Linked DNA regions of Notamacropus eugenii. The protein of the gene in region 3 purifies or fractionates together with the protein of the main gene of each other region. This does not show direct contact. Links are inferred from orthologs where the notes say so. Each region holds a gene or a part of one and is shown on either strand. Other genes may lie near its edges. The genes, in order: PRDX2, HEXB, SOD1 and TKT.

The links.
Region 1: the proteins of SOD1 (region 3) and PRDX2 fractionate together in Homo sapiens (co-fractionation; 3 studies listed by BioGRID, with this or other methods). This does not show direct contact. The link is inferred for Notamacropus eugenii from reciprocal best matches to the Homo sapiens genes SOD1 and PRDX2.
Region 2: the proteins of SOD1 (region 3) and HEXB purify together in Homo sapiens (affinity purification with mass spectrometry; 3 studies listed by BioGRID and IntAct, with this or other methods). This does not show direct contact. The link is inferred for Notamacropus eugenii from reciprocal best matches to the Homo sapiens genes SOD1 and HEXB.
Region 4: the proteins of SOD1 (region 3) and TKT purify together in Homo sapiens (affinity purification with mass spectrometry; 3 studies listed by BioGRID, with this or other methods). This does not show direct contact. The link is inferred for Notamacropus eugenii from reciprocal best matches to the Homo sapiens genes SOD1 and TKT.

Annotation. Positions count from the first base shown.
Region 1 is NC_092875.1:78,124,459-78,131,554, reverse strand, and holds the start of PRDX2 (peroxiredoxin-2), read right to left. Parts: upstream 3,012-7,096; 5' UTR 2,633-3,011; exon of another isoform or gene 2,629-2,632; coding exon of another isoform or gene 2,609-2,628; exon of another isoform or gene 2,598-2,608; intron 1,933-2,597; 5' UTR 1,931-1,932; coding exon 1,828-1,930; intron 1,673-1,827; coding exon 1,519-1,672; intron 826-1,518; coding exon 703-825; intron 214-702; coding exon 83-213; intron 1-82. Other genes in the region: THSD8 (thrombospondin type-1 domain-containing protein 8), read left to right, coding at 2,609-2,628, 3,061-3,194, 3,619-3,818; RNASEH2A (ribonuclease H2 subunit A), read left to right, coding at 5,778-5,904, 6,255-6,326, 6,448-6,574.
Region 2 is NC_092875.1:467,785,272-467,792,543, forward strand, and holds the start of HEXB (beta-hexosaminidase subunit beta), read left to right. Parts: upstream 1-4,271; 5' UTR 4,272-4,371; coding exon 4,372-4,604; intron 4,605-7,272. UniProt on the Homo sapiens protein: Hydrolyzes the non-reducing end N-acetyl-D-hexosamine and/or sulfated N-acetyl-D-hexosamine of glycoconjugates, such as the oligosaccharide moieties from proteins and neutral glycolipids, or from certain mucopolysaccharides.
Region 3 is NC_092876.1:422,104,699-422,111,727, forward strand, and holds the start of SOD1 (superoxide dismutase [Cu-Zn]), read right to left. Parts: upstream 3,019-7,029; 5' UTR 2,757-3,018; coding exon 2,685-2,756; intron 1-2,684. UniProt on the Homo sapiens protein: Destroys radicals which are normally produced within the cells and which are toxic to biological systems.
Region 4 is NC_092874.1:478,488,762-478,496,744, forward strand, and holds the start of TKT (transketolase), read left to right. Parts: upstream 1-4,963; 5' UTR 4,964-5,133; coding exon 5,134-5,240; intron 5,241-6,155; exon of another isoform or gene 6,156-6,180; intron 6,181-7,983. UniProt on the Homo sapiens protein: Catalyzes the transfer of a two-carbon ketol group from a ketose donor to an aldose acceptor, via a covalent intermediate with the cofactor thiamine pyrophosphate.

The DNA.
Region 1 (7,096 bases), on a different chromosome or scaffold from region 3:
TCAATCCATAGGGTAGCCACCTTGGAAGTGGAAAACACACCCAAGGAAGAGTGGGGTAGGATAGGGAATACACAAGACTCACCTTCTCCGTGCTCGTCTGTGTACTGAAATGCTTGCACTAGTCGCAAAGCCTCATCCACTGATCGACCCACAGGCAGGTCATTGACAGTGATTTGCCTGACAAGGCCTTTAGCATCAATGATAAAGAGGCCCCTGAGTAAATGGAGAAGAGCTAGTATAAGACCCTGGAAGTCATCCAGGACTGGGCAACACCATGTTCAGTAGAAAGAAGACTAGATTTTAATTCCAAACCCATTCTTCTGCCACATCTGTAAGGGCTGAGACTTACTTTCTTTTGGGGGAAGTGTCTGGCTCCTAATATTCTATGTCCTCGATCACCTTCCCTCCCCAAGTCTGAATTCAGACTTAGTACTTGTATGACTTTATCTAAGTCCTTTCAACTCTCTCAGCCTCAGCTTTTGTTCCTGCAAAACAAGATTTGATAATATAGCCTCCAAGTTCTCTTCTAGTTCTAAAACCTTGCAACTCCCTGCTGTTTCTACGTAGTTCAAAGATTGTCTGTTTTCATGACTATAAAAGTGGGGGTGGCAAAAACTAAGAACCAGTCAGAATGGTGACTCCTAAATTGTTGATGATCAGGGACAGAGCAAGACATACTTACAGACGGTCCCCCAACCATACCTGTAGGCAATGCCTTCATCCTCCTTCAGTACCCCATAATCTCGAGCGAGGTTTCTGGTTACATCTGCCAGCAGGGGGATTTTCAAAGGACCCAGGCCACCCTGTTTTCGAGGGGTGTTGATCCTTTTTAGGGAGGTTGAGAAAGAAGTGTCCAAGTTACTTACCTCCATGGAGTCCCCTTCTCCCTAATCAGGGACTATCTTTCCTACTCTCCAAAGAAAGGAGCTATCTTCACAGCTCAGAGGCTCCTCCTCCCTTCTCCCCAAGGGCTTGAGCAACAGATTAGGGCTTCCCTAAGAGTCCTGAGTAAGTGATAAAGGGGTTGCAGGCAGGGCTGTCAAAGCCCAAACCTACCACACCCAGGAGGGAGTAGTAAGGCAGGAAGAGAAAGATGCTGTTCTCTATTTCTGAGGAAGATGGAACAGAAAGTACTGCCTAGTATGGTTGAAACAATCGACGAGTGGACATAAGGTATGAAGCCCTGAGTTCAAATGCCAGCTCTGGTACTTGGTGAATCAAAAGCCATTGCTCTTAACTTCTCTAAATCTGTTTTTTTTTCTTTTTCACATGATGGGAGCTGAAAGAAATGTCTTCCAAAGTCCCTTCCAATTCAAATTACTACAAAGGGACCCCAGCAACTCAGCTTTGGAAACCCTTTTGTTCCAATAAGTGTAGTTACAGGGCCACAGGATATTCCCTAGCAAAAGACAGGAGGTGCCAGCCAGTGACACTTCCAGTGGGAGAAGGTGGTAGAAGCACAAAGTCAGATAGGGCAGAGTTCCTTCTCCATCTTCCTTCTCCTAGCCAGAATCATACCAGGCCAGGTGAGTGAATTGGGAATCCACAGACACACCAAGGACTTCGCAGCCCAGCTGACGGAAATCAGAGACCCGATCACTGAAGGCGATGATCTCGGTAGGGCACACAAAAGTGAAGTCCAGTGGATAGAAAAATATGACCAGATACTTCCCTGGAGCGATAAGAATAAAAGGAGTGAGAAGCAGGTGCTGGGGCCCCTTCCCCTACCACTCTCCAGGTGATAGGATCATCTCCTCACACCCTGACTTCCCTCCTCCAGAGGGGAAGGGGCCAGTGTCTCTGACCTCTAAGGTTGTTATCTCTCACCTTTATAGTCAGACAGCTTCACCTCCTTGAAAGCCCCATCGACCACAGCAGTGGTATGGAAGTCAGGGGCCGGTTTTCCAATGTGAGCATTTCCAGAGGACATGACTGGAAAAAGTGATTTTCCCCTTAGGGTCAACCAGGGCACCTGATTCGCATTTCCCCGAGCTGTGCAACCCAGCACCACCTCCCTTCCCCCACTTCCCGAGGCCAGACTGGGCACGTGGGTCAGACAAAGATGGTCACATGCAGCCCCTATCCCTCCCTCCATGGGCTGAACACAAGAGACTTGGGCACACGGGCCAGACTAAGCTAGTCCCATAGGGAAAGGGGGCAATTCAGACCCAGCCCTCCTGCCTCCTCTGCACTGCTCCTACCCCACCAGGGAAACAGGTCTGGGCACCCAGGCACAGGCTGTAAGATCTTTCACCTCCTCCCAGGACCCTTAGTCAGGCTGAGTTAGGCCTCAAGAGCAGGAACAAAGAGACGTCTAGATTTCTCTCAAGGTTCAGTTTCCCTGCTGAGTAGGGGACAGGTGGAGGAGAATTCACCTGGGCTCTCAGTTCCTAATAGCCCACAAAGAACAAAGGCAGGGATGGGGGGGGCGGGGAGGAACGTTTCTTGCTCCATGCAGAGGGAAGGACCAGGACAGTAGCAGATTAGCATAGAACACAATCTGTCTGGATAAAGGGGAGTCACAGGCTGCCTCTATTGCTTCCCACTCCCCTAGCCTAGAACTGGCCCGGCCCAGAAGGACCTGCATCGCATTGTACCTTACCGCACCATGCCGCACTGCACCGTACTGTACCTGCAAGAAGGGCGGGCTCCGAGCCTACAAAGATAGCGCGTGTTACTAGACCGCAACAGTAGCAGTCTGGAAACCAAAAGCCGAATCCAAGAGGCCGCCGCCCGCGCCTTTTATCCGCGGCCTGTACCACCTAAAGCCAGACCGTGGGGGGGAGGGGGGGTAGAAGACGAGGAGGAGTTGGGAGGGACGTATGGGAACGAGCCTGGGGGAGGACGCGACACGCCTGGGCGGGCCTACTGATGCGTCGTGGGGGGTGTGGGGTGGGGGGCGAGAAACCTGAATATACCGAAGCTGAGGGGCGGGGGCCGCTGACCTCTTCCCTCCCCCTTGTCCACTCCTCTCGCCTGTCCCTCCTGATGAGCAGCTCGGATAACGGAGCGCAGGGAGAACCTTGGACCAGCGACTAACAGCGGTTCAGGGGGCTACTGAATAGAGAAGGAGGGGGCCGTGGATGACCAGACTGCCCCTGAGATTGCTCCTGCTCGGCCCCGAACCTGCCCAGGCCCAGACCATCACTATTTCGGAGAACAAGGCTCTGGGGATTCTTGGGAGACAGAACTGGGTAAAGAGTGAGATGCCTTCAACCCCCAGAGCCTCCAGACTTGATCTCCCCAGATGTTACACATCAATGAGCAGTAACTCAAGGAGTCTTCCATTGGTGGGGCGGGGCACGGGGAGCGTGCAGGTTTACTCAGAAGAAACTCAGAAGCACTCATATACAGTGCACTGGCCCTGAAATCGTACCCCTCTCCTTAGCAAAGATTTACAACCCCCCATCCCACGCACACGCACAAGTATACACATATCACCCCCCACAATGAAATCTGCCAGGATTTCTCCCCGGGTCCTATTACTCAATTCAACAGATATTGTTAAGACGCTTGGCATATTGGGAAGTATCCCAGTCAAGCCTGGAAATTTCAGATGGTAGAAGAAACCCTGTCAAGGTTCAGGCTCCCTGGCTGACTGATGTTTTCTTCCCCCAGAGCCAGGAGAATTGCCACTGGGTCCATGGGGCCCCTGGACCTGCCAGTGTCTCCTGGGAATTCAAGAGCGGAGGCAGGATGTGATGGGCGCATCTGCAGCACCTGTATTTCTGGACAGGGAGAGCCTCCTGCAGCACCAGCCCTGCAGTTATAACAACTGTCCTAGCAGCTCACCAGGCCAGTGCAACCGGAGGGTTTGAGGACACAGAGTGAGCATGGCCAAAAGCAAACTCCAGAACCCAGAGAAGGAGAAAGGAAGATAGAAAACTCAAGGAGACTTGAGGCCCTGTGTGTGTACATTACCATCCCAGCTGGGTTTGGGGTAAGGAAGAGAGAAGCATCTGAACTTGGGAAAGGGGTATCCTGAGAGGGAGGGGCCCTAGAGCTGGGGATTCCTGGGATGATATCACCCTTGTCTATCTGCAGCATGTGGGGTGCAGGTTTTCCCCTGAGGCCTACCCTACCCTGAATACTTTGAAGATCAGAATGTAATCATCTCTATTATTGCTGTTGTTATTAAAGATAATTTTAAACCTTGCGGTAAAGCCACTCCAGCAGGTCCAGGAAGATGCATAGCCACACCTACTACATGCCACAGCTCAAGGAAGAATCAACTGGAGGGAAGCCTACCAGCTTGGGCCTCAGGAGGCAGATCCTAGTTCTATGGGGGCAGGGCCTACTCTACTAAGAGAGGCCCTTAGTGCTCGGAGACAGCAGAAGTGGAAAAGATCATGTTTGCTGAGATGGCCTCATCCTAGTGGTGCTACCTTAGATTTTTCCTTATTTCCTAGTAAGGCCTTCAAATAGTAGTTCTTACTGCTGCTATTTTTCTGGAGGCCTGGACAGAAATGTTTGATCCGATGAAAAGAATACTAGTCTATTGTTACTGAGTCATTTCAATTGGGTCCAACTCTTGGTGACTCCATTTGGGGTTTTTTTGGCAAAGATACTGGAGTGCTTTTCCATTTCCTTCTCTTGCTCATTTTACAGATGAGGAAATTGAAGCAAACAGAGTTAAGTGACTTGCCCAGGATCACACAGCTAGAAAGTGTCTGAGGCCAGATTTGAACTCACAAAGATGAGTTCCTGACTCTATCCATGCACTTTATCCACTCCATTTGGACACCTAGCTGCCTCCCAGAATGAGCCAAAAGAACTGGTTTAGAATCCTAGCCATATTTAATAGCTTTGTGACACTGGGCAAGTTCTTTCCCTTTTCTGGTTCTCAATTTCCCCCTCCTGTAAAATGAGAAGCTTGGACTAGATCAATCCAATGAATGATTAGTCAATCAGTAAACATTTATTAGGGAGAAGCAGAAAATACAAACAAAAATGGAAGTCCCTGTCCTCAAGAATCTTATAGTCTATGGGGGGGAGTGTGTTTAACACATATGTATGTATGTAATACACATATAGCATATGTGTATATATACGTATGTATATAAAAAGTTAATGCAAGATTAATTCGTTGGAGAGAGGGTAGAAAGCACTAACAGAGTTAGGGAATCTGGCAGGATCTCATGTAGGAGAAGGTGTTTGGGCTGACTTGTGAAGCTAAAGATTCTAAGAAGTAAAGGTGAGGAAGGACCGCATTTCAGGGCTGTGTAAACTCAGGGGAGATAGGATAGGTCATGTGTGAGGGACAGAAGAAAGTAAGCCAGTTTGGATGGCTGTCCACAAAGTATAAAAAGCTTGGAAAGGTAGATGTCAGGTTGTGAAGGGCTTTAAATTGCAAAGGAGTTTGTATTTTGTAACTGAAACAATAGAGAGCCTCTGGAACTCTTTAAACAGGGCTGTGTCTTGGTGTGTGTTAAACAGGCAAATGACTTCTTGGAAACAGAGATCTTCAGTTAGTCAGTAGTCAGTCAAAAAGCATTGCAGATAGATAACTGGTGGATGATGATCAAAGGGAGGGAGCATCATGCTTAAGAGGAGAGATTGGATCGGATGGGTTTTGAGCTCCCTCCCAGTTCCTGAAATTCTAGGACGCACGGCTAGGTGGCGCTCTTGCTGATGAACTACAAGTCCCAGAAAGCTACGAGGACGAACAGCAAGTTCAGGATTGGCTTGGAGGTTTCCGGGGGCGGGAAGCCCGCCTGGATCCGCGCATTTGCGGGATCTCCCAGCCAGTGTCCAAGACCGCTTGGCTTGCTGCGAGCATGGATCTGGGGGAGTTTGAGCGGGACAACACAGGCAGCTGCCGTCTGAGCTCGCCGGTGCCGGAGCTGTGCCGCACCGAGGCCTGCTGCCTGGGCATTGATGAGGCCGGCCGGGGGCCTGTTCTGGGTGGGAGTGGGTGCCAGCGTGCTGGGGGAGGAGGAGAGTGGGGGTGGGGTTGCCCGGGGGTGAGGGTGGCCTTCGGGCTAGGGGGTATTGTTGCACCAGGGCTGTGGGGTGTATCGGTTGTAGGAGGGGTGGGCTCCGAGCCGGGGGCGGTTTGCTGAGGGGTTGGGGGTTGCCCCAAGGTGGGCACTTCTTAGGGGTGGCAAATTGCCTGGCGGTGGGCCCTGGTTGTTGAGCAGTTGGACCAAAGGATTGCTTCGGGGTTGGGCCGTGGTTGGAGAGTAGGTTCTGGGCTGTGGGAGTCAAGATCCGGGGTCTGGAGGCATCTGACTCTACCTGTCCCCTTTTGCCAGGCCCTATGGTCTACGGCATCTGCTTTTGCCCCTTGTCCAAAGTGGGCGCCCTGGAGGCTCTGAAGGTGGCAGGTGAGTGCTGCACGGATGGCTTTCCAGGGGCTGTGGGGTGAGGGGGTGAAAGGTGGGGAAGGATTGTGCCCCTGTGACTAAGCCTCTCCTCCTTGCACTTCTCCCTTTTCCACACTGCCAGACTCAAAGACCCTGTCGGAGGCGGAGAGAGAGAGACTCTTTGGGAAACTAGATCAGGCCCGGACCTTTGTGGGCTGGGCCTTGGACATTCTGTCCCCGAACCTCATCTCCACCAGCATGCAGAGGCGGTGAGAGGCTGTTTGTGGGTGGGCAGCAAATTGACTCCTGTGCCACTCAATGTGAGTAGGGGCAAGAACACTAGATTTCAGGGCACAGGATCTCAGAGCTGGAAAGGGATCTCGGGGATCATCTTCTAGCCCAATACATACCTCACCCAACATCCCCCTCCATGGAGTGGTCACCCATCCTTTGCTTGCCGGCTTCAAGTAGGGTAAAACTTACTCAACCCTGGCTGAGGAAACCCATTTCCCTTTTGTATAGCTCTAATTGTTAGAAGGTGCTTCCTTAGATTGACTACACAATTAAGGATTATTGGTTCAGAGCTGAAAGGGATCATAGAGGCCATCAACTTCCTTCATTTTACAGATGAAAAAGCATTTTTTCTGTGTGAAGGCAATGGAAGTTAAGTGACTTGCCTAGGGTCATGCAACTAGTTTCAGAGCTGGGATTTGAACTCAAGTCCTCTTGACTCCAGGACTGGCACTCTATCTACTCTGCCACCTAGCTGCCTCCAGACAAAGCACAGAGAG
Region 2 (7,272 bases), on a different chromosome or scaffold from region 3:
CAGGACCCTGAAGATTGGCAGGTCTTAACTTCCTAAGTACGTCCTAAGCCTATGGATTCAGTTATTGTCTACAGAGGTGAAAACATCCTCCTATTGTTCACACACTTAGGATAACTTGGCTTTCTCTAGAAGATACTGTTTGCAGAGTACTCTCTGGGTGCCCCCACACACACTTCTTATGTGTGTCTGCAGTACTTAGCATAGTAGCTGATTAACAAATGTTTATTGACTTGAGTATTGGTCATGCCACTCTTTCTAGTGCTGGTTGCTCCTTTCTTGATTAAGAGGAGACAACATACTCTTTGTTCCCACAATAATGTCCAAATTCTCCTTCTGCCACCATCATTCAGCAACCTCTTGTTTAAGGGTCCCTCCAAAAAAAAAGATCTTCATTTAGAAAAGTCAAGGTCACCCACTGAATCCCAGGGCCATCACCAGTCATCCTGACGTTTGTCTTGCCACACAATTTCAGTGACTCTGGAGGAAAGAGTGAGACTGATGCCTTTGCACAGCCCTGCTTAACTTACGTCCAACTGGTGCATATATGAAGACATCACTTCTTGATATTCTTGCTCCTCTTTGAGCAGGAAGGATGAGCAATGGCCACAAGGTTCCTGCCATCTGTGTATCTCCCCTCTTCCAGACCCCAGTGGTTATAATCTACTGCTTACTCTTCTTCCTTTCTCAGAGAATTCATTGCCTGGCTTACCATATTCCTCTCCCTCTTACTTGGGGTCTTCAACATATGTGTTGGTGGTCCTTCAAACACCCTGGCCACCAAGTTCATCATTTTCCTCAATTCTCATGACCTAAAACTTCATTCTACCTCAAGGATAGTCATAGCTTCAATTTCCATTTCCTCCATGGTGCCAGCTCCACCATTTTCAGTTATGAAATTCCCCTCTCTGATCATATCCTGGCCTTCCCACTCTCCCTCTACCTCTCTCCTCCTACATCTATTCTTCATCTCTACTGTGACTTCTAGTACCTTCACTCTTTTCTTTCTTCTCCTCACCCCATGATCCCTGTACAGGCCTTACTTTCCTTCTTTCCAAGTCTTGACCCCCTTGTTAACTCATTGTACTGTACATTATCTTCCACCCTTGACTCCTTTGCCCACTTGCCTTCCCTTATACAGACTTCGGTAATCCTCAGTCCTGAATCACATCTACTAACTGCCTTCTATGCTCCCACCTCATGGAGAATGCTACTGGAGAAGTGCTGACAGGGTACATGACCAACTTATGATATTGAATCTCAAGTGGACACTCACTGCTGCACAGCAATAATTTTAGTCTTCATTGATTGATGCTATAATATGACTCACAGTAGCTATTCCAAACCTTCCTTTTCCAATTCATAGTCCCAACACCATTCCTACCTCTGCCTTCCTTTCTCAGCAGTCACTCTTTACCTACTTTACCAAAAAAAGAAAAGCCATCTGTTAGTAGTTCCTAGAAAAGAAATAAAGGAGCATCAATTAAATATTTCAAAATACACAGAAAAGAAAAAAAATTCAAACACAGACAAACAAATCAAGCTACATAATAGATTCATAGTTTCACATGTAGTCCTTTTTTTTTTGTTCTCTGTGTATGAAAATGTTCATGCTTGTTAAATTCATTTAAAAAAGGTTTAAAAAGAATGTTCCAATTGCATTGTTGACCATTACTTCCTCCTAGATATTTCCTGCTCTCTTGGCCTTTAGTGCATTATCTACCCCGCCCCTTCCCTCGTATATACCCAGGGTTGTCCTGGGTCCCCTTTTCTCTCTCTCTGCCTCTTTCTCTGTCTCTCTCTGTCTCTCTCTCTGTCTCTGTCTCTGTCTCTCTCTGCCTCTGTCTCTGTCTCTCTCTCTCTCTCTCTCTCTGTCTCTCTCTCTCTCTCTCTTTCTCTCTACTTCTGCTTTCCAAGATTTTATCTATTTTCCTGGATTCAATTATAACTACCCAGATGTCTCTCAAATCTATATATATAGTCCTAATCTTTTGAAAGCATCTCAAATCATCTTCTGACTAAAACTCTCCTAAATATCCTGTAGGATTCTCAAATTCAACATATATCCAAAGCAAAATTCAATATTTTCACCTCTCTAAATCTACTCCTCGTTTAAAATTTTCTGTTTCTGTTGAGGGTGCCAATAGTCAGTCAGCAAGCATTCATCAAGTATTTACTATGTACCAGACACCATCTTTCCAGTCACCTAAGTTTATAACTTCAGAATCATTCTCAGTTCTTCCTTATAGCCCTTGCCCTCCGTATCCAAAATGAATTGCCAAGTTTTGCTGATTTTTCCTTCTCTCAAGTCCATTCTCTCTCCACTTATACTTCTATCACCCTAGGGTAGGCCCCTGTAACCTCTTACCTGTACCACTCTACATTCCGAATTGGTTTACTTGCTTTCATTATGCCCCATTCTAATCTATCTTAAACTGTCAAAATAATCTTCCTAAGGTGGAGATCTGACCATGTCATTGAACACTGACTTGGAGTCAGGGGACCTGGTTTTGAATTTAGTTTTGTTACTTATTAGCTGCATGACCTTGAACAAATCACTTTCTCTAGGTGTCAGTTTTATCACCTATAAGATGAGAAGCCTGGATTATAGATGATATAGCTCTAAGGTCTTTTGTGGCTCTGAACAATCTGGAACTAGAAAACCTTCATGGAGGAAGTGGCATTTTGAGCTGAGTCTTCCAGATAGCTCTGGAGGGGGAAATGAGAGTCAGAAATCACCATCCAGATGTTGTGTTTCTTCTTAATTTTTGAGGAGGACCATGACATTGGGGAGATGATGTTGACTTTGATTTGAGTGAGGAAGGGATGTGCAAGTTCACCAACCTCACTTCCTCCTCCTGAGCCATCTGGGTCCAGTGGCCAGATAGTCATCGGGACCACTGGAGATGACCTAGGATGCAATGGGAGATCCTGGTTGTTTTCGACTCAGGCCTATTCAGTTACTCACTTTTGAGTGAGGTAACTCCCTTTCAATGAATACGCCTCTTTAAGAAGTAAGTGAGGGATAGTCCCTTTAATTAGAAAAAAGGAAAAAAAAAATCAAGCTGGGAGGGGAAGACCCTCCGGGTTGCTGTTCCAAAGAGTAACAGTTACCATTGACATTCACTGTAAATCAGGAGGGTCCAAAAAATAGGCATTAAGTGGAGCTTGGGCAGGATCTATTGCGGTTGAATATCTGAGCTTCAGAGTGAACTGGAGGGACAGGAAAGGGAAAGGATGGGAAGGAAAGGGGAGGGGAGGGGAGAGGAGGGGAGGGAATCTAGCCAATAAACCCTGGCCATCAAAATTTACCTCCCTTTGGAGAGTGGAACTGGCGGAACTGAGTTACTCAGCTAGCTGGGTCCCCATTCAAGGGAACTCGGTTTACTCTTAGGTTGTGTTTGTCCTTCGTTTTTGAAGAGGACCATGACATCAGGGACATGGTGACATGACTTGCAGGATCCAATGGGAGACCCTGGCCCTTTTAGGCCCTTTCAGGTACCAAACGAACGTAATCCTATCAACAATACACAGAAGGATGTGACAGGCCTGGGCCTGGAACACAAAAAGCAAGCAGATCAAGAATGTGTTTGGAAAATGACTAGTTTCCTTTCCAGCAGAGAAAGTCAGGAGGACAATTCTACTCAACAGTGGAACATAAGCAGAGATCTGCAGATAAATGCTTAAAAACAGGCTCTGGGAGGGAAAAAATGTAAACGCAGCCCACTTAAGTTTGTTCTGCTTTTCTTTTCTAGACAATCAACAAAGCAATAAATCAAGCAGGGGTGTGTAGCAGTTCCAGATTGCCTAAGTGACCATTCGAAAAGCCCCTAAGAGCTGGCGCAGCAGCTGGCTGCGTAAACAGGTAGAGAAGGCATGTCCAGCGAACCTTCCCACCCGCAGCGCCTAATCCAGTGCCTGGTCAATTGTTTTTTAAACCAGATGTGACTTCATCGCGTATGGAGCATCAGGTGAGCGTCTTACTCCACCTGTGCAGATCCGAACCTTTGATATAATGGCCTGGGAGCCCGCCAAAGCCTCCGAGCCCGCGTGGGTCTAGGCTAGAACTTGGTGCCTCGGCCCTCGCCCTGTGCCCACGGGGTTCAGCTGCTTTTCACAACTGCTCAGATGCAATCCTCCGGCACCCAAGGCGCTGAAGGCGCTGCGCCCCCGGGGTGCCCAGGCAGGCCCACACACAGCCCCAGGCCCCCTCGGCCCGCTTCCCGTTTGGGCCAGCGGGACACGAGATGGGTCACGTGAGGAAGGCGGGGCCGGGTGAGGGAAGGGGTGGCCTTGGGGCGTCTCCCGAGCCTCAGCTTCCCCGGGGACGCAGGATAAGAAGCCGGGGTCTGCAGGAAGCAGCCGAGCCTGGCCATGACGCTCCCGGTGCTGTCCAGCAGCGCGCTGCTGCTGGGGCTGCTGCCTCTGCTGCTCGGACCCGGGGCCCCGCTGGCCGCCGCCCGCCGCCAGGCTCTGTGGCCCCAGCCCGCGTCCGTGCAGCAGTCACCCCGGGTGCTGTACCTGTCCCCCGACAGCTTCGAGATCGCTCACGGCCCCCACTCTTTCGAGGACTCCAATTGCTTTCTGCTGGAGGAGGCTTTCCGCCGGTAAGAACCCATCCCCCATGCCCCTTCTTCCGGGTGCCTGCCTCCCGTCCTCGGGGAGTCGAGGTTTGCACCGATTCTCCAGAGCTGGAAGTGAACGGGAAAACTGCTGGGGCCGGTGCTGCTTGTTTTTGTGGCAGGGTGCGCAGGATACGCAGCCCCTGTTCCGTAGATTCTCCAGGGCAGCCCGAGATCCCAGTCCCGGACTAGACACTTAACCTGTATGGCTTCTGTTTCCTTTTCTGTAAAATGAGGGCCCCTTCCAGCCCTGATGGGTTGTTATCCTGTGAGGACAAATAGCCTTTTTTAAAACTTGGTTTTTCGAGGCAGTGTGTGGAGGTGTGTGACACTGCAAAGATGTGACCCAGCCTGAGAAGAGGGAGAGGGTAGGGTGAGGACGAGCCCTGAAAACTGGGAACAGCAGTCTGTTGAGGATAGTCTTGAGAGAGGTGCTAGATTGAATGCACGTCCTCTGTGCGGACCAGTGGCTAGTGATTCTCTGCAGCCTGTGAAATAAGTAGCAACAGCAACTTGGAAAGATTTTATAAAGATAAGTTGAAGAGGCAAGTGGGAGAAAGGCCTTCAAAACTCAGGTAGTAGATAAAGTGTGTTGAAAAGCTTCATTACACCACATTCTGGATCTAGTGGGAGAAAGCAGAGAGTCCAGGTGGCCTCCCTTAAGGGCCTTCTCTGTCACTTCCTAACCTGTGGGACTGTGGGCAAGTCAAATCTCTAGAAGGAGGATGGCCTGCGAGGTTGCCTACTGCCCTAAATCTCTAGTCCTCTGAATAAGAAAATTGAGGAGGGGTCCTTCAGGGTTTATCGTGTTCCTGCTTCTGTATTCTGGGTCAACATAAACACTGGCTTAGAATAGAAAGAGAACTATTTGGGGGGCTTTTTGTTGTCTTGTTTTGTTTTGGAGACTGGGTTTCCCCATCTCACTCAGACTGGAAGGGCATCAGCCACTCACTGGCCCAGTCCCAGTGCTGATTGGCAGAGAGACTTCACCCTGCTCTGTTTTTCTCACCTGAGATGGCTCACCCCTCTGCTCCTCAGGGCCACCACATTGGTGTCATTACTGTGGATACCACAGGCTTTCATCCTTCTGCATCTCAGATCTCCCAAACTCATGGGATCCTCCAGCCTCAGGCTCCTCATCCACAGGGACTGCAGGTGTGCACCACCCAGCCCAGTGGACTTTTGTTTCTTTCTTGCTAAGGACCCCTTTTGCTTATCAGAGAAAGAATTTGATGACTTGGTGTTGAGAGGGAATCTGTAAGAAGGCTTACATCACCCAATTCACTCTGGAGCTTATAGACTGGACAAGAAGTCCCCACCCACCCAGCACAGAGTGAATGTAATAACTAAATAGTAATGTTTCTCTTTTACCCGGGAACCCTGAGAGTCTTCCCTTCCCAGTTTGATTTTTTGTTGTTGTTGTTAAAGGGGCCACCCCTTGAGTAACTTAAAGAAGCTTATTCATTGAGTCTCACACAAAGTAAGAATGTGATAAGACCTTAGGCTGAAAGGGCCAGGGTCTCCCATTGCATCCTGGGCCATCTCCAGTCATCCTGATGAATATCAGGCCACTGGACCCAGATGGCTCAGGAGGAGAAAGTGAGGCTGGTGACTTTTCACAGCCCTCCCTCACTCAAATCAAAGTCAACTGCAAGTCATGTCATCATCTTGATGTCTTGGTCCTCTTCAAGAACAAAGGACAAACACATTCTGGGACAAACTAGTATTTTTTTTCCTTCCATGGGACAATCAGATGACTACTACAGTTCTTATTGAGTATGAACCTGTGAGTTTTGAAAGGCAAGAGACACTGCTGAGGGGAGAGAAGCTTCAGTCTCTTAAAATATGAAGACCTATAAGATTTTGTAAAAAGTAAAATTAACTATTAGGTTTCAGCTACCTTTGGAATTGGAGAATTACTGAAAAGCATAGGGTTGCAACGCTTGTTATCTTAGCTACAGTGACTTGAAGGGCTTTCCTTATCTAAATATATGTAAACACTGTAGGCAAAACAATTGCCGTTAGAAGACTAAATAAACTTAGATTAACCAGTTTATCTATAACCAAGTAATCAGAAATGTCAGAGGAAGGAGTTCAATTCAGGTCCTCTCACCTTGTGTTTCTTTCTACTATCTGCCTTTTGGTATTTCATCATACTTAAGAGAGACATTAAATTGGTGACATACCAAAATAATGCTATAGTGATAGACAACAAAATTGATGTGAAGGAGACGCCTACTCTTTGAAGAGCTGGCACATGGAAGTAGGATTAAATTTATTTGGCTCCAGCAGATAGCCCCAGCTAGTGAGAACTAAAAGGGAAGCAGGTTTTGGCTCAAGGAAAACTCTCCTTTAACTGACCTGACTCAAAGACACGGGCTGCCTGGGACAGTCGGGAGATTCCTATCCCTGGAGGCCTTTTGGGGAAGTTTAGATAATTTCCAGAACACATCCAGAATGTTAGAGAGGTTTGTGCTTCAGAGATTAGGCAGACTCTGGGTGACCTCTGAGTTACTGATCGCTGATTTCTGTGATTTATAAATTAGATAACAAAAAACTGGAACCTGAGCAAGCTATGATAGTAGTATTTAAATAAAAAAAAGGAGGGAGAGCTGGCTGACCTAGAGAATTTACCTCATAATCTCATCCATGA
Region 3 (7,029 bases):
TAAAATGTGAGCTGTTTAAAAATGGAGACCATTCTCTTTTTTCTTTGCATCTAGAGCACCTACTGGCATAGTAAGAGATCAACAAACACTTACTGAAATTAACTCCAGGAAGGGCGTCAAATGTGGGTTTTTCCTATTCTCACTAAGCCTTAAAGATGTGACTCTCCTGTATCAGCATTACTGTTGCAAAAAACACCACTGATAAAACCAACATTCACTAAGTACTTGGGCAAGCATATAATTTCTTTGATTTCTCTCTCAGAGAAACTATTCCTGAGAATGAATTTAAAGGCCCCTCGAATTTCTAGCAAAGGCTCTAAAAGACCAACATATGAAGCTAGAACAGTTTATTCTAGAGTTCGATACATTTGACAGTCCTGCCAGTTATGCCTCCAATCTCTCTCAAACATAGATCCCCCTCTCTGCTCATATTGCTACCACAGTAAATCAAGGTCTCACTAACTCTTCCCTGAATTTTTCTTACTATGTAGCTGCTCTGTCCTCATCCTTCATCCCAATCTAGATTGCTACCAAAATAATCTTATTAAATGTACAGTTATGACCTCATTTTCTTCTTACCCTTTTCCAAAACTTTCAATGGTTTTTTATTGCACAATAAGAATACAAGCATTTAAACCTCTCCAATCTAGTTATAATCTACATTTCTATCCTTATTTCACATTATTCCACTTCATAATACTAAGTTTTAAAATTTATTACTATCTATTTTCTGTGTTTTTCTGTAGACTGAACACAATTTCATCTGTGCCTTCTCTTCCTCAGGGCTCAGCTCTAGTACAACCTCCTCCATGAAGATTTCTTTGGTTTCCTTCTTCAGTTGAAAGAAAACTTCGTAAGAGCTACTCCCAAACAGACAAATGATCAAAGGATACAAAAAGGCAGTGATCCTAGTACAGACTTTGCTACTTACAAATTCATAACTGAGCAAGTCACATCCTTTACAACCCCTGAGTTTCCTAACCCATAAGAAGGGACCACATATTACAGATTTCTTGGTTCTTTTTTAAACTACTTACTATTTGTTTTAAACATTCTGAGTTCCAAGTTCTCTCCATGCCTCTAGTCCTGCCCCCACTGCTTGAGAAAGCAAACAGGATACCAGTTATACATGTGAAATCATGCAACATTTCCATGTTATTCTAGTTGCCAAAAAGAGAGACCACCAGTTCTGACTGCAGGTGGGTCGCTTTTTTCATTTTCTGTCCTCTGGCATTATCCCGGGTCACTGCCCGGAGCAGGGCAGCCGGACCTTTTCCAGTGGATCACCCCACAACACCGCTGCTTCTGTGTGCGGTGTTCTCTGCGCTCTGCTTCCTTCACTTTGCATCAGTTCATCCAAGTCTCCCCAGGTTTTCCTCCTCATTTCTTCTAGCACAGAAGCATGACATCAGTCACATTACCACAGTGTGCTCAGTCATTCTCCAATGGATGGCCATCCCCAGTTTCCAGTTCTTTGCCACCACGAAACAAGGTGCTCTAAGTATTCTTAGACCTTCTCCTTTTCCTTGATCTCTTTGGGAAACGGAACTAGTAGTGTGCGGATTTCTTGTGAAAATAGAACAGGGTAGGCAGTGCAAAATGACCATTCGGGACCGAGGAAATAAAAATCTCCCAAAAACTCAGACGGGGACGCTCGAGGACCGCCTTCTTTCTATTTCGATGAAGTCAAGAAGGAGGATGGAGAAGGGCAGGGAAGTAGCGTGACAAGACAAGACAGAAGAGAGCCAAGGAAGAGCAGGGCCCCCCGAGCCCTCCACCACCTGCTCCCCGCCACCCAGCACCCCGATGCTGCCCTCCCAGGTCAGCCCCGGGCAGACGGCCCCCTCCACCAGGGCTGCGCGCCCCGGCCCCGGCCGCTGCCGACTCCTTCGCACCGTTAGCCCTCCCTGGCAAGGCGGCGGCCCCGGGCCAGTCCCCGAGGTCCCCTCCCGGATCTCCGCTCTGGCGCGCTCTTCTCCGCCCTTATCGGCCGTGCCCCGGGGGCGCAGAGCGGGCCGGACCGGGAGAGGAGGGGACGTCGTGGGGATTCCCGGCCGCCCCGCTCCCCAAGCGGCCCCCAGGGCATGAGAGGGAGGAGACTGGAGGCGGCTTAAAGCCGGAAAAGAGGCGAGAGCGAGCTTTCCCTCTTCTCGGGGCCAGGCCCGGACTCCCACCTGCGTCTTCACCCTTCCCCGGCTCACCTGCTCAACCCCGGCCACCCCAGCTCCCTGCCACCTCCCACACCGCGCGGGTCTTTAACCCGGTCCCGGCTGCGCTGCGGGCCGGCCCCTGCCCTCCCCAGCGCCCCACTCCGGTCCGGGGGCCCCGAGGGTGCACACGCCTTCACCCCCGGGGGCGGGGGCGCCCCGTCCTCCCCACCCCGCCCCCCCATGACTCAGCACTCGGGCTCCGCAGCCAGCACCGCCAGCGCGCCCGCGGCTCTCCCCGCGGGAGCAAAGTCTCGAGGAGCGCCCCGCGCGGGCCCGTTCCCCCCACGCTCCGCCCCGCCACGCCTTCTGCGGCGGGGGCAGAGCCGGGCACGGCCGGGACGGCCGGCACTCCGGGCACCACGCGGCGGGGGCCGAGCCGCGGGGGGGGCGAGGGGGGAGGGTAAGGAGGGAGGCCCGCCGCGGCCCCGGGGAAGAGCGCAGGACGCATCCGCCCGCCCCTAGTTGTGCCCTTGCCTGCTTCTGCTCGAAGTGGATAGTGCCTTGGACGGGGCCGTCGCCCTTCAGAACGCACACGGCCTTCAACATGGCTCACGAGCGCGGCCCTTCCACGTCCGAGACGGATGCCGACAGGGAAGAACCAGATACCCGAGAAAGCAGGACGAGCACAAGAGCGAGGGGAGAAATGCCAAGCCGCGGGCTACGCAGCACCTCACTTAAGGGCACGCACTGCCGTCACTCCGCGCCTCCTGGCTCCTGGCCGACCAATCACAAGGCTCTTCCTATCAACACTCCTCCCGCCCTCCCCGAAGGCGGCCACCAATCAGGAAGGCGGCTCGCGCCGGGCCCCCCGTAATGCTTGGAAATCTTCGCCCTTTGCCCGCCTTCGCTTGTACTTACGGTAGAAAGCGCGAGAAGCCCCGGGCCCTTCTCACGAGGTCTTCCGCGTGAGAAGTGTGCCCTTCGCCCCCCTCTCGCCTCTCCCCTCCTTGGACAGCGGTAATCGATCGTCCGCTATGGCGCCTACTATCGCCTGTGACCGACAGAGCCTCTTTTCTTACTGAGCCCCAGTTCTAATGGGAGGGACCATAAGCACATAAGGATATATAAAATTAAAAAACCACAAACGCCAAGTAGTAACGGTCCTTGGGGAGCGAAGGCATTGGGTGGGGGAGGGGAAAATCAGAAAAGACTGTGTGCAGCTCGACCTCTGCCCTATAGAAAAAGAGGGATTCTGGGAGTCAGCCCTGAGGAGGGAGTGCACACCAGGCTCGGGGGACCGCCAGTGCAAAAGCTCGGAGAGGGGAAACGATGCATCCCGTGTAAAGAACATGGTTGGCTGGATCTCAGAGTGTAGGAAGGAGAGTCATACCCAGTCAGGCTAAGAGACAGGTTAGGGCCAGGTTGTGTAAGATTTTTTAAAAAGCTTAAATAATGTGTATTGTTTATTATTATATCATTATTATAGTTTATCCTTTATTATATTATTATATATAATGTATAGGTATGTTGTACATATACCTGAGTGTAATATGCATATTATATCCTTTATAATATTATTACATCATTATTATAGTTTATCCTTTATTGTATTATTATATATAATATATAGGTATATTGTACATATATACCTGTATGTAATATGCATATTGTATCCTTTATAATATTATTAAATCATTATAGTTTATCCTTCAGGCAATAGGAAGCCCGTGGAATTGTTTGCCCAAGAGTCACCTGATCAGGTCCTGAGCCCAAGGAAAAGTTACTTTGGCAGCATGTGCAGAACCGGCTTAAAGAGACATCTGAGGAAGGGACCTGTTAGCACTCATCTAGTGGAGAAGTGAAGGGGACCCGGACCAAGGTTGTAGCTGTGAGAGATGTGAAAAGTGGGACAGTGCCTGATCTGCCAACTCATCCATTAGATGAGGTTGAGGAAGAGTGTGGGTTCCAGAATAATAGCCAGGCTCCAAACCTTAAAGTCTTTGGGTTGGTGGGGAAAGAAAATGAGTTCTGTTTTTCCCACCTTGAGTTTAGGATGTCTCTGGGGTATCTAGTTTAAAATGTCCAGTGGACCAATTAGTGTTACAGCTCTGAAACTTGGGGGGCAGTTTGGGGATGGATTTATACAGTGTCCCCAAAAGTCAAAGAGCAGTTTTAAGCAGGACATATGGAACATCCTGTATATTTCAGTCTTCTATATAGAAATGATAGTTAAATCCATGGGAGCTGATAAGGTTATCAAGATAGAAAGTTATCTAGAATCCACCAGTGGTGTGCTGAAGCTGGCTCAAGCTACCAGCCCATGTTAACTTTTCAACGTAAGCACTTACACCTTGCAAAATGGCAAACACTACAAATCAGTGTTTGATTTATTGCTTTGTAGGATGACTAGACTTAAGAAGGGGATGGAGAAAATGTTAATAATGCAGGTCAAACTTAAAAGTGTGTCAAGATCACATTTTTTTCTCAGATGTTTTCTCAGTTGTTAAACGTTTACCAACACACCACTGCCTGAGCCAGTTCAAGCTGTAGCCAGCATAACCCTGAAACACCCTGCAACTGGAGGGTGTAATGTGAATAGGGAGATAACAAAGGAGACTGAGAAATGGTCAGGCAGATAGGAGAAACAACAACAACAACAAAAATCTAATGAAAATTTAGAGAAGAGAGAGTATCTAGTAAGAGAACGTTAGTTAACAGTGCCAAATACAAAAGATAGTAAACGTTTTTTAAATATGCTCTGTATCCCAGGCATTGTGCTAAATGCACAGTGGAGATACAAAGAAAGGCAAAAGATGGTGATTGCTCTTAAAAGAGCTCACATGTCTCAACATGGGAGACAACATGCAAACAGTTATTTGCCAACGAGCCATACACCAGATATATGGGAAATAATCAACAAAGGGAAGGCATAAGAATGAAGGGAGATCAGAAAAGACCTTTGATAGAAGGTGGGATTTTAGCTGGCACTTGAAGAACACCAGGGAAATTAGGAGGCAGAAATGAGGAGGAAAGACATCAAGGACGATGAGGACTGAGAAAAGACCACCAGACTTGGCGAGGAAAGGATCAACAGTAATTGTGGACAGAAAAATTTTAGTTGAGTGATGAAGTCCAAAGCTAGATTACAGAGGGGTGGGAAGCAAATGAGAAGAGAGGTCTTCCTTAAAAAAAAAAAAAAGATTGAAAAATACAGGAGAGATGAAGGTTTTGGGTTTTTTTGTTGTTGTTTTTAAGGGTGGAGGAAACCCGAATAAGTTTGAAAGCAAAAGGGAAGGAACCAGTAGATAGGGAGATGCTGCAGATTCAAAAGAGAAGGGAAAAGATTGAAGATGCATTCTGCTGGAGAAGATGTGAAGGGATAGGATAAAATACACATGTAGAAGTGTCAGCCTTCCTGAGAAGGGTCACCTCTTTGTCAGAGATGGAAGAAAGGAGAGAGTGGGAAATGATGCAAAAGTCAAGGTCCTCATCTGAGGAGGTGGAGTACAAGGGAGAGGTGTGGCAAGTTTAAGGAAGAAAAAGGTTTGGAATAGTTAAGTGGGGACTGAGATAGAGAATCAATTTGGGAGAAATAAAAGGACTGATTTGCTTCAGTGATGGTCCAGTTAAGGTTAGTTAACATGAATTTGTGGCGTACCCAATCAGCTTGCTTTTGAGACTCCCTCCTATTGCTTTCAGCAGCTAGTTAAGTAGGAGAGGTAGTCCAGTGTGGAGGTTTGGCAAGAGATGAGTGGCACCAGTCAATTTTGCTGTAACATTTATTTTGCAAACTCAAATTTGTCCCAATGCAATTGATATATTAAGGAACTACTGGAGCATAACTCGAATTCCACATTTGTTATATACTATTTTGTCTTCAAGAAACTCTAGGTGAATATCGAAAAAGGCATCCAGCTGAACTGAACCAGGTGGGAATGTACAAAATGCAGACACACACACAGCACTGTTAGCCTGCAAAATTGTGTTTTGCTATTTTTGTGTTGAACTTTTCTAAAGCAACCACAGCAACAACACCCCACACTCATTTGACATCTCAAACCAAAGTTCTGTATTTATTGTTATATCTTCTGGTGCAGTAAGGGTTGTGGGCAGAGGAGAGCCACAACACTCTACATCTCCTCTGCCCACTTCTGCCACCACTAAGGTCCCCTATCTTATGCACCCCACCTAAAGTCATGAACTCATCAGAGCAAGCAGCTAGGTGGTGCCTAGCTGGATGAAGTGCTGGATCTGGTATTAGTGAAGACCTGAATTCAAATCCAGCCTCATATACTTCATAGCTGTGTGAGCATGGGCAAGTCACGTAACATGTTTGCTTCAGTTTCCTCAACTGTAAAGTGGAGATAATTAAAGTACCTATCTCACAGGGTTGTTTTGAGGATCAAATCAGATAATATTTGTAAATCACAGCACAATGCCCAGCCTATAATAGAAACTATAAAATTGTTTATTCCTTTGCCAAGCAACACACGGACATACATGTCACCACTATTTATTCTTAACTATTTAACATGTATAAAACCATGCTACTTTTAAAATTAGGTTCCTTTCTTTTTTTATGTCAATTTGTGTTATGGCCCCATGCCATAATTCCCATAGGTGCTATGGTTTTTTCTTATTGATTTTGCATTGTGAGATGATTTTAAGGATGCATATGTCTAATTATAGACTTTAAAGAAGGAAAAGGACTCAAAAAAAGGGGGATATTGTAGAGTTAAAGTGGCTATTTATTGATTTGAAGCTAAAGAAAGATGCATTAATAAATCCTGTGTGGCAAAAATAAATGCCTCAAGAAGTTTTTTTTATGACAAATTAAAGAAACTAAAATTTAACTAAATTTAATTTTTTGAATTAACTA
Region 4 (7,983 bases), on a different chromosome or scaffold from region 3:
AGAGAAATATTCTGTCATTGGCTGAATGTTCATATTGAAGGACATTCCAGAACTGAAATCTACCAGTTTTGAGGGCAAGAGCTAGATCCCAGTAAAGGTAGTTCCAGACTCCTGCAAGGCCTCAGTGCTACCTCTTCAGCACCCTCTGATCCTCTGACGGAACGCTGGAGCCATGAATTCCAAAGCCTTTGTTTAAGGAGGGGTCTCAGGCTAGCCCTCTTTTCATTGCCCACTCAGGTTTTGCCCTCTTTTGGAAGACTTCTGAGTCCAAGACTTCAGACATGGGAATGGGCCATCTGATGGCTCTCAGCTCTGCCCATTCCAGTTTACTCTCCACACTGTTGCCTGAGGAACTTTCCAGAAGCACAACTCCAGTGCTTTACTATTGCTGTTAGAATCAAACATCAACTTGTCTGTTTAGCCTTGAAAACCCTTCATGAGCTGGCCCCAGATCCGTCTTTTCAGATTCACTGGACACTACACACTTAGACCTGGCCTGGGGCGGCCTCTGCACCTCCTGTTTCTGTGACTTTGCTCTGGCTGTCAAAGTGCCAGAAATGATCTCCTCCTCACCCCACCTCACACAGTCCATCTTCCTTTAAAGTGAGACAAGCACCTCCTCTTCCAGGGAGCTTTTCCTGATGGCCCCAATCATTCATGCTCTCTCTTCCAAAGATCTTCTGCTTAACTACTTTGTGTGCATCTGTGTCTGTCTGTATTAACCACTTTATGTGTGAATGGCTAGATTCAGCAACTTTGTGCTTCTGCATTTGATGTGCATTTGCTGTCTCTCCTATTACAAAGCAAGCTCCCAGTGAGGAGGGATTGATCATTCTTTGTCTTTGTTGGTCTAGTACCCAGCATAGTGCTGCCCTAGCACATACTGGGGGTGGGGGTGGGGTGGGGTGGCTTAAGAAATACTTGTTCCAGAGCAGCCAGGTGGTGCAGTGGATAGAGATCTGCAGTCAGGAGGCCCTGAGTTCAATTCTGAGCACAGACACTTATTAGTTGTGTGATTCTGGGCAAGTCACTTAACCCTGATTTCCTTAAAAAAAACCCAAGAAGAAGGAAAAAGAAATACTGGTTCCTTGGTTGAACTTCAAAAGGCCCCCAGTTGACCCTTACCAGCCTTGCCACTCTCTTACCCTCTCTTTCTGAATCAGTTTCTTCTTCTGTAAAATAGGGATCCTAATGGAACCAAATGCCCCAACCTTAAAGTGCTAGATAATTATTATCTGGGATTCAGAGCCTGTGCTTTCTAGATAAACACCTGACATATGGGAATTCTTTTACTCTGTTTTTAGATTGGGAAGCTCCTCATCTCACTCATTAATGGCAGCCTTCCCTTAACATGTAATAATTAACTAGATCATAGCTTCTTTTACATTAGCTACATTTTAGATTGGCATCGCTCAGATGGGACATTAGGAGATGCCCATGTCTCATCAGCAACTCCCTTTTTTGTCCTTTTAAAATATTCTATATGCTCAAAAGTTTAAAAATGGATGTTAAAAGTAAATTTTAAAATTGCAAAAATCCCAAATGTTTTATTGATAGTCTTTTAAAAACCACTATTATCACCTCCCAATGACTTTCCTATACTTTGCCTCTTCATAGACCTTCTTGTAACAAATAAATATGGTGAAGGGAGCCATCTCCAGTCATCCAGATCAATATCTGGCCACTGGATCCAGATGGCTCCAGAGGAAAAATTGAGGCTGGTGACTTTGCACAGCCCTGCCTCATTTCATTCTAATTCACTTATGTGTCATGGCATCACCTCCCTGATGTCATGTCTTCAAGAATGAAGGACAAACAACAACCTATGAGTAGCACAAGCTACCTAACTGGTCAGTTTCAGCTGGGCAACTCAGGACCTCTCCCTCCCTTCCCCTCCCCTCCCCTTCCCTCCCCTCCCCTTCTCTCCTCTCTCCCCCTTCCCTTCCCTTCCCTCTTTCCTCTCCCTCAGTCCACATGGGGCATGAGGGTGCTTGACCCAAAGGAATGTAAGTTTTGATGGTTGAAACCTAGTGACAAATCTAGGTGTTTACTAACGAGATTTCTTTCTTAAAGACCATGCCTAAACCCAATTCATTCTAGCTCTCAATAATTGGACTAGAACGGATCCCAGACCAAGCACCACTTAGTGGTCATTGTTTGAGCCCAGATTGGATCAGAGTGAATGTAAATAGTAAAGGTTTCTGTTTTAACCAGAAACCCAGTGGGTCTTCCCCTCCCTGATTTATTTTTTGATTTGGCCCATTTCTTAACTAGCTTTCATCACTGAATGGATGTTGCCTCAGTCAAAGTGAGAACTCTGAAAGACTTTATCTTAAAAAAGTCAAGATCTCCCACTGCATGCAAGGCCATGTCCAGTTTTCCTGATCTATATCTTGCCACTGGACCCAGAGGAAAAAGTAAGGCTGGTGACTTTGCACAAAGCTCTCTCATTTAAATCCAGTTCACTTGCAAATAGCATCACCTTCCTGATGATGAGATCCTCTTTTAGAAGGAGAATGAAGGAAAACAAGAACAACAACAAATATGGTCAAGCAAATCTAATTAACAGACATCTGCAAAGGTATGCCTCATTCCTCACCAGTAGTCTACCCCCTGTTTACCAAGAGTCAGGAAACATAGCAGCGTCCTGTTCAAACCATCTAAAGCCCTGCATTGAGACTAGGAAAATCTTAATTTCCTCTCCAGGGTCTTCCATTAACCCTCTGTTAACTTAATAATAATAACCTTGGGCAGATTACTAGACCTTTCCAAATAACTCTCTTATCTGTACAGTAAGGGGTTTGATTGCACCACTTTCCAGAGTTATCTGTGGGATTCTTCTACAGCTCATTAACCTATCTAATACTGATTCTTACTTGGCACATGTTAGAGATGAGCTTGACATACAAAAACAGGTATCAAGAAAAATTTATTTAAAATGGAGTTCAGAGTAGGGAAAGCCTACGTTCCTTCCCCTGAAGGAATGGGTAGCTTCCAGCATGGTCACTGGAAGGACCACAACTGGGCCAGGATGAGGCACGACGCTTATAGAATTCTGAACTTCAGATTTCCCCGATACTGTCCCCTGGCCATGTGACTCAGTGTTCTCCTCTCAGATAGGCCCTTCTTCACACACCTCCTTGGGCCTGCGCATTAGTTTCTGACCTCTAACCTGTCCATGCTAGGTCACAACCCCAACTTTCTTACTTCTCACAGCACATTTTAACCTTGTCCCCAGATTTAGGGGGAGCCTTCTGTTTGGGAGCATATGGCTTCTGCTTCAGTGGTTACAACAAACACGGTGGTCTTCGGGTAACATCTATCAGAAAAACAGAATTTTAGAGCTAGCATGAACTTTAATGGGCAGCTAGGTAGCACAGTGGATAGAGCACAGGGCCTGGAGTCAGGAAGACCTGAGTTCAAATGTGACCTCAGACATTTGCTAGCTGTGTGACCTTAGGCAAGTCATTTGACCCTGCTCTGTTTTCTTATCTGTAAAATGAGCTGAAGAAGGAACGGCAAACCAATGCAGTATCTTTGCCAAGAAAACTTCAAAAAGGGTCATGAAGAGTCAGACATAGTTTCTTCTGCAATCTAGTGGATAACTGGGTGTCTACCCTCTGCTTGAAGTTCTCCCAAAGATGGGGAGCTTACTCCTTCCTTGTAAGGTCTGTGAATTTTTTTTTTCTGTATTTCAATATAATTGTTTTCCTTCAGAATCCTATGTATGTTGTTTTACACATTGAAAAACATGATTCTGAGCAAGAGTTCCTCCATGGTTTGCCAAACTGCTGTCCAAAGGGTACATTACAAAAAAAAAAGTTAGGAACCTGGAATCCCTTGTCCATATCATGTAGTGAGAAGAACTCTGTTGTGGTCAGGGGGACTGACATCTAACCCCAGTTCTGTGCTATACACTACTTGAGACCTTGGGCAAGTGACTTCCCTTCTCTGAGACTCGGTTTCCCCCTCTGTAAAAGAGACTAGATGATGTCTAAGGATCCATTCAATTCTTAGACCCTTTGATTCAGTGGGCTTATGAGAGGAAGGCACAGCCCTGACCCTGCCTTTCCCCTCACCCTCTTGGTAAAGCCACTATGCAAACTTGGTTAATGCACCATTGAAGCCCAGGGCAGGCCAGCTGCAGGGGCCTGGAAGCAAGGAATGCTTATTCATTCAAAGGACATCTCCAGAAGAGGAACAGTCTGGGCCTACTGCCAATGCTGAGTAAGTGTATGGCACTGGGTCATAGATTCTTGAGCCCAAAGTCACCTTTTAGATTATCTAAAGTCCAGCTGGGGAATCAGAGGGAGAAGGCTGAGCCAACAGCTAGCATATGGCAGAAGAGGATACAAAGAGTCCAGTTCTGGAAGCCTTGGGCCTGGGTTCAAATTGGCCTGCTCACCTTCCTGCCTATGGAACTTTAGGCGATCACTCCACTTTTTCTAGCCTCCTCTGCTGCATCACCTGGAAAATGAGAAGTTTGACCTGGAAGCCTTCCTAGGACTCCTCCAGGTCTACATCTGAGTTCTTCTGAACCCAAATCTTTGGGCTTCACATCCAGAATTCCATACCCATGTTGCTTCCCCACACTTAGGAAGCAACCAGGCCCCTGCAAAAGCAAATGCGAAAACAGGAGCGTCTCTGTGGGGGTGGGGAGGGGGGAGCCATCCCTTCCCCCAGCTCTGGACTGAGCCCAGGGTGCCACCCCACAACTCTCCGTGGGCCCTTCTAGAGCGTGTGTGGGCCTTCCTGGACCAGTTTCCTCCACGGTAAAAAGCCCTAGCTAGTGTTCAAGGCTCTGGGAGCTCTTGAGAAGGGCGGACAGGTAGGGGTGAGGATGGGGGCCGCAGCCCAGGGACCGTGCGTGCGTGAGACAGGGTCAGCACCGATCTCTGCCACTCCTCCCCGCGTGGCCCCGGCAGGGGCCGGCCCTGAGGCTCGCTCCTCCTCCTGCCTTTCTTCCTCTTTCTCCTCCCCGTGCCCCTGCCCACGTCCCCAGCTCCTCCCGCAGGTAGGCCTGGTCATAAGAGGGCGCGCTGGGCTGACCCTCCTTCTCGCCCTCCTCCTGGCTGTTCGTCTCCCCTTCTCTGCTCGTACTGGGCTCGGGATCCGCGCCAAACCCGCTTCGCCATGGAGGATTACCATAAGCCGGACCAACAGAAACTGCAGGCACTGAAGGACACCGCCAACCGGCTGCGCATCAACTCCATCCAAGCCACCACCGCGGCCGGATCGGGGTGAGTCAAGGCTCCCAACCCCCAGACCCAGGCACGGAAAGCGGGGGTTGGACGGGGGAGCCGCTGTAGCCCAAGCTCTTGCATGAGGGTTGAGCGCGGGCATGGAAGGCAGAAGGCACGGGTTCGGGACGCTGCAGCAGACGGGCTCCCACTTAGAGGGAGTGCGGGGAGGGGAAGGCTGGGTGCTGTGGGACTGTGGGGCTGCAGCAGCCGGGGCCGCGATCGGGGTGAGTGTGGGCATCGGGCCCCCGGCCGGGGGAGGGGAAGGCTGAGGGCAAGAACTCTGGCTGTGGGCTGCTGCAGCCGGGGCCGCGATCGGGGTGAGTGTGGGCATCGGGCTCCAGGTCCCACGGCGGGAAAGCTGGGGCTGCGGGCTCCAGAGGCTGCAGCAGCCAAACCCGGGGCTGATCCGGCTTGGGGAGCGGAGGGCGTGCTATGGATCCCATATGAGAGAGCCCTTGTGGCCATGCTGGCGCTGTCCGAGCAGCCTTTCCGGGTGCCGGGGCCTTCCCGAGCTCGAGATCCCCGCCCGGAACCCGAGGCTGGCTCCGCCCATCCCTGGGCAAAGTCCCTGAGGAGGCCAGGCACGTCCCGGGTGACCTGGGACAGAGGCAAGGAGGACTGGGGCCAGGATGGGAGCTGGAACATGCCTGTCCTTCCTCGCCCCCATCCCTAGTCAGATCCCCGCAGGCTTGGGGCCCTTGTAGTGGGGTGGAGACTGAGCTCAGCCGGACTGAGCTGGGGGCCCCCCTCCCGGTCGGTGTAGTCTGTGATGGCGGGAAGTTGGGTGGAGAAGGCCAAAGGCCCAAGGCCGTTCCTAGGCAGAAAGGTTGCTTGGCGGGTGGAGGTGCAGTGATGGGGGGTAGAGTGCTGTACGTGGGAAAAATGACATCTGAAGTCTGAAGCCCAGCCTTCAATCCCTACTTCTGCGAACCAATCAGTAAGCTTTTACTTTGGACCAACTTTGTGGAGAAGGGGGGACGGTGGGTGTGGCTGGGTGGTGTATTCGAAGTAGGTCTGGAGGCGGAGGTTCATTTTAGAGTTAGGGAGTTCAAATACCACCTCAATCCGCGAACCTTGATCAAGGTCCTACCGTGTGCTGGACTCGGATACGGAGACCAAGGTGAAAACTGAACTGCCTGGGTATGGGGAAGCTCACTTTCCCCTGGGGATTGAATTTAGCAGATATGATCCCCTAAGATTCCAGCCGTGATCTTAAGGCTCCTGGAGGCCTTCTCTGGTTATCTCCCAGGCCTTAGGATTGGCCGGATCAACTTTCCCTGGCCACACTGATGAGTTTAGGGGTAGGGCCGAGCACGTGGTCGAGGCTGGAGACCAGAGGTTTAGACCACGTGATCTGACCATGAAGAGGCTACTTTTATCTTTTGTCTGTGTGCAGTTACAGGTTGTCTTCAAGTTAGAACAGGAAAGGACCCAAGAACATTGGTATTTTACATTTGGGGAAGTTGAGGCCCCACATAGCTCAAGAGACATGCCTAGTAGTTGATAAATATGGATCGCTGAAAGGCAGTCAATACACAGGCCCTGGTGGGGGTGGTACCTGAAATGTGATTACGAGGAGTTTACAAATAAGGACCCACGAGGTTAAATGACTTCTCCCAAAGCTCCAAGGAAATAATTAGAGAAGAACTTGTAGTGGAAAGGAAACCATCTTTCTTCTCCGGACTTCATTTTCTCTACAGTTGCGGGTTTTTTTCAATGAGCAATCATTTTCTGCCCCTCTTTCCCCCCATTGGAAAACAAAAAAACACAGCCTTCCTAACAAGTTCAGGGTCAAACAAAAACCACTGAGTGTTGGCTGTGTCCCCCAAAAGGCTTTGTCATTCAGACGTCTGGCTCCTTCGTCCTTCGAGGGTCCGGACCTGCTTTTAAGCGACTGCAGACTTGATCTCTGGAGGCCGGTTTCCTGGCCTCTACCCTGGCTGCTCCTTCCCAGTTCAGGCTGGCTCCCACCCTTCTCATTAAAGTGAAATGACTACTAGATGACCTGCAAGGGCAACTCCAGCTCTACCCGTCAGGGAGAAAGGAAAAAATAACTGAAGAGGAAAGAAAAAAAACTAGAGGAAGAATGCCGAGGGGATGCCAGACTGGCCAAAGAATGTATTTCCTGGGGGCCCAAACCGGCTTATTTTCTTTTTGCACCCAACAGTCAGAACCAATTACCGGCAGGATTTCTAAGGAGTCCTAGGGGAGATGCTGGGCAGAATGCAGGGCAGTTCCGCACGTCTGTGATGTTATTCATTTATGAGCTACGCCCTCACCTGCTCCCCAGAGAACCTCAGCTGCCCTCCAAGGTTAAAACCCTTTCTGAGTGGGCATCAGGAACCCCCCCACCCCCAAGAAACCCCCATCAACCTAGCTCTAATTTTTTGTGAGGATTGTAAGACTGCCTAGGAGTCAGGATGACCCGGGTTCACATCTCGGTCCTTTTTTAGCTGTATGATCTTAAGTCACTGAACATCTAAGCCTCAGGTAAGTGTTCGGACTGTTATAATGACTAGTATGGAAATGTTTTACATGGTAGCGTGTAATATATAAATAGATAGAGCTATATCAAATTGCTTACCATTGTAGGGAAGGGGGAGGATGGAGGAAGAAAAATTTGGAACTCAAAATTGTTAAGAAAAATGTTAAAAATTGACTTTAAATGTAATTGGAAAAAAAATGCTAGTTAAAAAAAACCCCTGTAAGGTTTAACTTAGTTCTTAGCTTGGGCTAATGG